Macaca fascicularis: one gene and its partner. The main gene of each other region encodes a partner of the protein of the gene in region 2 in a complex. Links are inferred from orthologs where the notes say so. Each region holds a gene or a part of one and is shown on either strand. Other genes may lie near its edges. The genes, in order: FZD8 and LRP5.

What was found.
Region 1: LRP5 (region 2) and FZD8 share a complex: the UniProt entries of both Homo sapiens proteins name them as parts of the wnt-signaling complex. The link is inferred for Macaca fascicularis from reciprocal best matches to the Homo sapiens genes LRP5 and FZD8.

What each region holds. Positions count from the first base shown.
Region 1 is NC_088383.1:36,412,251-36,416,605, forward strand, and holds the start of FZD8 (frizzled-8), read right to left. Parts: upstream 3,068-4,355; 5' UTR 2,212-3,067; coding exon 130-2,211; 3' UTR 1-129. UniProt on the Homo sapiens protein: Receptor for Wnt proteins. Component of the Wnt-Fzd-LRP5-LRP6 complex that triggers beta-catenin signaling through inducing aggregation of receptor-ligand complexes into ribosome-sized signalosomes.
Region 2 is NC_088388.1:6,280,981-6,284,779, forward strand, and holds part of LRP5 (low-density lipoprotein receptor-related protein 5), read right to left. Parts: intron 3,182-3,799; coding exon 2,785-3,181; intron 1-2,784. UniProt on the Homo sapiens protein: Acts as a coreceptor with members of the frizzled family of seven-transmembrane spanning receptors to transduce signal by Wnt proteins.

The DNA of each region.
Region 1 (4,355 bases), on a different chromosome or scaffold from region 2:
GTTCATTATCATGCTAATAGCAATCAACACTGTGAAGGGGTGGGAACCTCAGCCCATCAAGTGTCCCTTCGCTGCACTTGGTCTCCTCGCCCCCCTCCCCACCCCTCCTGGGCGCCGCCTCCCCTCCGCTCAGACCTGGGACAATGGCATCTGCTTTGGATAAGACACGGAGCTGGCCGTGCCCGACCGCCACGTCAGGCCGGTGCTGACGTCGCTGTAGAGAGAGCCCGCGCCACCGCCTGGTCCCCCGCCGCCGGGCCCCCCGCCGCCACCGCCCCCCGGCCCGCCGCCGCCCCCAGCGGCCGTGGCGCCCGCGCCCCCGCCCACTGCGGCGCCCTTACTGGCCCAGCAGCAGCGGGTGCACAGGGAGCGCCAGGACTCCAGCGTCTTGCCGGACCAGACCCACACGCCCGAGGTGATGCCCACCACTAGGCACATGAAGTACTTGAGCATGAAGACGGCGTAGTCGGGCCTGCGCGCCTGGTCAGGCTGTAGGTCCCGCAGGCACGGGCAGTTGTGCGTGGCCTCCCAGCGCGGGCGGTTGTGCTGCTCGTAGAAAAGGCAGGCGACCACCACTGCCGCGGGCACGGTGTAGAGCACGGTGAACAGGCCCAGGCGGATCATCAGCTTCTCCAGCTTGTGCGTCTTGGTGGGGCCGTCCTGCTGCTTGATGACTGAGCGGATGCGGAAGAGCGACACGAAGCCGGCCAGCAGGAACATGGTGCCAATGAAGAGGTAGATGACCAGCGGCGCCAGCACGAAGCCGCGCAGATTGTCCAGGCTCTGGTTGCCCACGTAGCAGATGCCCGCCACTGGGTCGCCGTCCACCGAGCTGAGCGCCAGCACCGCTATGGACTTAACGCTGGGCACGAGCCATGCGGCCAGGTGAAAGTACTGCGAGTAGCCGGCGATGGCTTCGTTGCCCCACTTCATGCCGGCCGCCAGAAACCACGTGAGCGACAAGATCACCCACCAGATGGAACTGGCCATGCCGAAGAAGTAGACTAGCAAGAAGACCACGGTGCACAGCGCGGGGCCGGTGGTCTCATAGCGCACGTGCTGCTCCACCGCGCCCAGCTCCTCGTACTCGCCGCGCCCGCCCGGGCCGCCCGCGCCCGCGCCCGCCGCGCCCGCGCCCGCCGCCGCGCCGCCCGCGCCCCCCGCGCCCCCCGCGCCCGGCGCGCCGCCGCTGCACGCCACCTTCTCGTGGCCCGCCACCAGGCGCACTAGGTAGCCCACTGACACGAAGAGGTAGCAGGCCGAGAGAAAGATGATGGGCCGCTCTGGGTACTTGAAGCGCTCCATGTCAATGAGGAAGGTGGAGACGGTGGCGAAGGTGGACACGAAGCAGAGCACCGACCACAGGCCGATCCAGAAGACCGTGAAGGCGCGCTCGTCCTGGCTGAAGAAGGGGTTGTGGCAGGGCAGCGCGCAGTTGGCGATCTGGCCTGTCTTGACGCGGTTGTAGAGCGGGTGGCGCTCGCTGGACACGCTCACCATGGGCGCGCGGCATTGGCACCCGGGCTCGCAGGGAGCCGCGCCGCCGCCAGGGGGCCGCGCCTTCCCGCCACCGCCGCCACCGCGAGCTGGGGGCGCCGCCGCGTCCCCGCCGCCACCGCCCCTGCCGCCGCCGCGGTGCGGGGGCCTGGCCCCCGGCGGGCGGCCGTGGCCGCTGCCCGAGGGCGGCTGCTCGCCGGGCGGCGGCGGCGGCAGGCGGCGCGGGGGGCTGGGCGCGGCGGTGGTGAGGTCGGTGCGGTTGTAGTCCATGCACAGCGTGTCAGGGTTGCCCTGTTCGGGCAGCCGGTCGCAGCGCATGCGGTCGGGCCAGGCGAAGCCGTACTGACGCATGAGCGGCGCGCAGCCGGCCTTGGCGCGCTCGCACACCGAGCGGCAGGGCGGCAGCGGCTTCTTGTAGTCCTCCAGGCAGATGGGCGTGTACATGCTGCACAGGAAGAACTTGAGGTCGGGCGAGCACTGGATCTCCACCAGCGGCCAGAACTGGTGCACCTCCAGGCCCGCCTCGTCCTGCGTGTCGTGGTTGAACTGGTTGGGCATGTAGGTGTAGTTGTAGCCGATGCCCTTACACAGCGGCACGGTGATCTCTTGGCACGCCAGCTCCTTGGCCGAGGCGGCCGCCGCGCCGCTAGAGCGCTGCAGCAGCGCTAAGGCGGCCAGCAGCGAGGTCACTTCCAACAGGTAACCCCACTCCATGCTGTGCGCCTCGGCCCGGTGCCCTCGCCCTCCAGGCGGCGCTCAGAAGGGTGCCGGGGGGGAGGGGGCACGAGAGAGCCGGAGACGGGGAAAGCCGGTGATCTGGGATCTCCCTTATGCCTCGCCCGGGAGAGGAGTCTGCTGATAATCTAGCCCCTCGTAGGGGCGCGTCGCAGCCTCGGCAGGGCCCTTCCGCACTCCTTTCCGCCGCTCCTGGGATTTGAAGGCGGTCGCAGGCGCGCGCCACAGTCCGAAGGTCCTCTCTGCTCGCCCCAGGTCTCGCTCAGCCCTCGCGGCGCAGAGCGTCCGGGCTTCGGCTCATCGTCCCGCGCTCGCTCGCCTCCTCTCCGCGCGCCCGACCACTTCTCCCCGCCGCGCTGGGCGGCGGTGACTCCGCCGGGCACAGAGGGCGGCGGCGCTGCAAGTTTCCTCTCGGGCCGCGGTGCGCAGTCAAGATGGCTGGGCCCGGCCGTTCGCCGCGCCGGGTCAGCCCTGGAGGCCACCGCTTAGCCCCCGGGGGCTCATGCCCGCCCCCAAGGCCGCGCCACCGCCGCCGCCGGAGTTGGGGACCCGCCTCGGCCCAGGCCGCCGCCCTCTTTCTCCGGCGTCCGTCCTTCGTCCGTCAGCCCCCTGGACAGACGGACCCCCGCCACCAGGAAAAGTCAGCGCCGCGCTCCGTCCGCAGTCGGGCGAGGCGCACGCAGTCTCCTTCCTGCTGGACACCCAGGAGCAAATCCAGACCGGAAGACGGAGCGGACACCTGAGTGGCGCGGCCCGCGCCCAGCCGCCGCCGCCGCCTCCTCCTCCTCGGCGGGAGCAGCGCCCTTCGCCCAACTTCCCGGCTCCAGCCCCGCTCGAGCCGCGCGGCCGGCTCATGAATATTTATACAGCGCGGACTCGGTCTCCGCCCCCAGCCCCGCGAGCCAATCGCCGGGCGGCGGGGCGGAGTCCACGTGCTCCCAGGGCTCAGCCTTCCTTAAGGCAGTCCCCGAGTGTCCGCACCGCTGTGCGCGTTCTCTGCGGATGGAGAGTTTTGGTAACCTTGGGATTGGCCGCAGAGACAGAGTGTTGGCCACGGCTGTCCCCATGGCGCTGAGTGCGTCTGAGGTCTTGGTGCCCTTTCCCCGAGTCTGCCCTTGGGGACAGGGACGGGGTTTGGTGTAGCGCACGCCTCTTCGCCGCGTTTCAAACCAGCCAGGCCCCTGCTGCCACCCTCCGCGAATGCGGGTGATCTGCGGGCGGCGGGGGTCTCGCAGTCCTCCGGGCGGCGCGGAGGTCCCGCAGCAGGCGAGTGCAGGGGAGGCCTGCCGGGGCGGTCTGCCGGGGCGGTCTGCCGGGGCTTGGCGCTGCAGAAGACCCGGGAACGGGTGTCCTCCTTGGGGTTCTCAGAACGATGGTTTCTGAGGCTTGGAGATGTGGGGGTTGGGGGGGGAGGAGTGGAGTCATTCTAAACTGGAGCTGGACCCAGGACGGCCCAGGTGAGATGCCCCGGAGCCCAGCCTTGGGCGCGCGAGGGGCGCGGGGGACAAATGCCCGCCTGAGACTTTTCTCCCGCCTCCGCTGCGTGACCCGGGGGAGCCTCAGTTTCCCCACCTCGAGAGTTGGGTGATCATAGCACAGATCTCTAAGGGGGCTTTGATAATTAGGTGAGATAAAATATAGAAAGCCCCGGGACGCCGTGCTTTCTTAGGAAAAAACATTCTATTTCTTTTTAAAAATCAAAACAAACCCCGAAACTTATAAATAGGACAGACTGGAAACTCTGGGGCTGGATTCCCTGCCTTCGCTTGGTTCTTTCAGGACGTCTATTCATCCATCCCAAGTTCACAGGCTTTTGCCAGAGCCTCCTTTTCTCTGGTGGGAGGCGGCGCTGCGCTCTGGCGCGGACTCCGGGACACGTATCTGCGCTCTGCACAAGGCCGGAGCCGGACCCGGGCTGCTTTTAGCAGCCGCTTGGGCCACCGCCAGCGAACACGGTCCCCGCCGGCTCCGCAGCCACCTTAAGACCGACCGGGAGGGGGGCTGCGGGCGGCCCGGGCCGGCGGCCTGGCAGGTTCATTTACGCTTGTTAGGGCGTCCCAGGGGGCTGTCTTTCTCCTGGAATGGAGTGTTTATTTTTTAATTGATGTGCTGTTTCATTTAGC
Region 2 (3,799 bases):
CTCGCGCACATACTCACTCACACAGGCACATACACGCGCATGCATAATCACGCGCGCGCACTCACACAGACAAGCATACAAATACCCGCTCACACACGTGTGCACACGCACGCACACAGGCTCACACGTATGCACGCACATGTGTGCGTGCGCGCACACATACACACACACACACACACACACAGGCTCACATCCTCCCACTCCCACACTCAGTTGCTCAGACACACACACCTGGCTCACACAAACCTATTGGGCTCTGAAAGGCTCCAGCCCTTCCCGTGCTTGTCAGAAGCCAGTCAATGGCTTCTTAAGTCACCGCACAGAGCAAAGAGGTGAACTTGGCCACCATGGCACTCTGCTTCCCCAGCTCCCAAACCCCAGCCTTGGTGAGGATACTCTCATTCCCACTACCCCGGGCAGGCCCAGAGGAAGGGCATCTGCAGGGTATGGCAACCAGCCCCTCCTGCCCGGCTCCTGCAGCCAGCGCCATGGGAGTCAGGGGGAGGTCACTGCGAAGGGCAACAGCAAGTTGGTGGCCTCAGGACTAGAGCCCAGGGGTCTTCGGTCCTACTCCAGAGTTTGGACACTGTCCCACAGGGCACGGAAAAGGGAAGGGCTCCCAGAGCCCTGACTTCAGGGAGGAGGGCGGGTGGGCTCCTATGGCAGGCCTGGATGCGTGGCTGCCCAGTCCTGAGACTTTCTAATCTAGAAGATCTAGGTCAGGCCGGGTGCAGTGGCTCACACCTGCAATCCCAGCACTTTGGGAGGCCGAGGCTGGTGGATCACTTGAGATTAGGAGTTTGAAACCAGCCTGGCGAAACCCTGTCTCTACTAAAAATACAAAAACTAGCCAGGTGTGGTAGTGCATGCCTGTAATAACAGCTACTCAGGAGGCTGAGGCAGGAGAATCGCTTGAACCTGGGAGGTGGAGGTTGCAGTGAGTCGAGATCGCGCCATTGCGCAAAGAAGATCTAGGCCGGTCCCTCATCCGGTGAGGTCCAGGCTGGGAGTGCTGAGAGACTGGTGACACTGCATGAACTAACAGGCAAAGGGCTTCCAACTGAGCCTGGGAATGGGGGGAAAAGGCTCCTGTGTTCTAGTCAGAGACCTCTGCCAACCAGTTCTCACACGAACTCAGCACAGAACCTGACAGGTCAGCAAGGGCCAGGGCTCAGCACAGCCCAGGTAAGGGTGTGTGTACAGCCCCCAGAGTCACTCCCAGGCTGCAAGAGGAGGGACGAAGGAGGGACAACGGGCGTCCAAGCAAACTGTTCCCTCTGCTCGGGAGTCCGGGGTGACCTGGCCTAGCTGGCCACTGGAGCTGGGCCACCTCCCCTCAAACTCTCCACCCCGGACTTCGACTCCAAGGAGGTTCTTCGCTTTCCTGCCACCCACCGTCTCCCCACCTGGGATCATGGCCAGGCCCTGAGCCTTCAAGGGCCCAGGTGAACTCAGCCAGACAAGCAGCTGAGGAGGACACAGGGCAGCTTCCAAAACAGACCCAGGTTCTGCTTCCAGATGAGGAGCTGCACTTTTTCAGCCAATGCAGTTAGAAAGCCAGGAGAAGGCGCAGATTCCACCTGCCTGAGAGTCTGCACTTCCCAGGCCACCCACCATACACACAGCAAAGATGCGTTTAACCATTCAGACCCACAGCCAACCCCATCAGACATGCAAGTTTTAAAAAGGAACGTAACTATGAACCAGGCATGGTGGCTCACGCCTGTAATCCCAGCACTTTGGGAGGCCAAGGTGGGTGGATCACCTGGGGTGAGGAGTTCGAGACCAGCCTGGCCATCCTGGTGAAACCCCATCTCTACCAAAAATACAAAAATTACCTGGGCATGGTGGTGGGCGCCTGTAATCCCAGCTACTTGGGAGGCTGAGGCAGGAGAATCACTTGAACCCGGGAGGCGGAGGTTGCAGTGAGCCGAGATTATGTCACTGCACACCAGCCTGGGCAACAAGAGCAAGACTCCATCTCAATTAAAAAAAAAAAAAAAAAAAAAGGCCGGGCGCGGTGGCTCACGCCTGCAATCCCAGCACTTTGGGAGGCTGAGGAGGGCAGATCATGAGGTCAGGAGGTCGAGACCATCCTGGCTAACACGGTGAAACCCCGTCTCTACTAAAAATACAAAAAATTAGTCGGGCATGGTGGTGGGCACCTGTAGCCCCAGCTTCTAGGGAGGCTGAGGCAGGAGAATGGCATGAACCTGGGAGACGGAGCTTGCAGTGAGCCGAGATCACACCACTGCACTCCAACAAGGGTGACAGAGCGAGATTCTGTCTCACAAAAAAAAAAAAAGAAACATAACTATGGAATCTCAAGGGGAAGTAATTCTCTCAACCATAACAAATCCTGAAAGCTGAGTTCTTTTTTTTTTTTTGAGACAGGGTCTCCTTTGTCGCCCAGGCTGGAGTGCAGCAGTGGGATCACAGTTCACTGTAGCCTCGATCTCCCAGGCTCAAATGCTCCTCCTACCTCAGCCTCCCAAGGAGTTGGGATTACAGGTGCACACCATCACACCCGATTTTTTTTTTTTTTTTAGAAATGGGGTCTCACCATGTTGCCCAGTCTGGTCTTGAACTCCTGGACTCAAGTGATCTACCCGCCTTGGCCTGCCAGAGTGCTGGGATTACAAGCATGAGCCAAAGCACCCCCCCGAACTCGTTTTAAGATTCACATCTTTTTTCTGAAAAATAACTTGGGCTCACATAAATTCGAGAGAGAAACGGTGATGCTCCCCGCCCCCTGGACCCAGGCAGAGTCGCGGCAGGGTTTACCCGTGAGCGGGATCCAAGGCGATGGCCCTCGGCTGGTCAAGGTCCTGCCAGAAGAGGACCTTCCGGGATGTGCCATTGAGGTTGGCGACCTCGATGCGGTTGGTCTCTGAGTCCGTCCAGTACAGCTTCTTGCCCACCCAGTCGCAGGCAAGGCCATCGGGCGAGACCAGGCCGGAGATGACCACATTCTGCACGGCGGCCCCCGTCTGGTTCAGGTAGGTCTGCTTGATGGCCTCCTCGCTCACATCTGTCCAGTACACGGCTCCCTTGGAGAACTGGAAGTCCACTGCGGCCGCATCCTCCAGGCCACTGACCACAATGGTGGACTCCAGCTTGACTCCGCCAGCGTCCACCAGCCGTACGTCCCGGCGGTTGGCAAATAGCAGGAGTGGCGAGGCTGTGGGGCAGAAGCAAACCGTGAGGGCCACTGGCTAAGCCAGCAGGACACACAGCCCTGGGATGCAGCACTATGCCCAGAGCACTCCTGGCACTGCCCCACTCATGCCCAAGACCTCCAGTTCCTTCCTCCCACCCCCAAGGCGCTCTCAGGAAGTTGCCTGGGCGGCCCCGGCCCACACCATTCAGAGGCTCCTGCAGCACAGCAAACAGCCTTCTTACCGCACTCAGTGACAGCAACTGGTTTTTTTTTTTTTTTTTGAGACGGAGTCTCGCTCTGTCACCCAGGCTGGAGTGCAGTGGCGTGATCTCTGCTCACGGCAAGCTCCGCCTCCCGGGTTCACGCCATTCTCCTGCCTCAGCCTCCTGCATAGCAGGGACTACAGGCACCCGCCACTGCGCCCGGCTAATTTTTTGTATTTTTAGTAGAGACGGGGTTTCACTGTGTTAGCCAGGATGGTCTCAATCTCCTGACCTCGTGATCTGCCCGCCTCGGCCTCCCAAAGTGCTGGGATTACAGGCATGAGCCACCGCGCCCAGCCTAGCAACTGTTTGTTTACCACCTGCTACGTCTGTTCCCCCAGGTACGGGTGACCCTTCCTGCCACACCCACCACCTC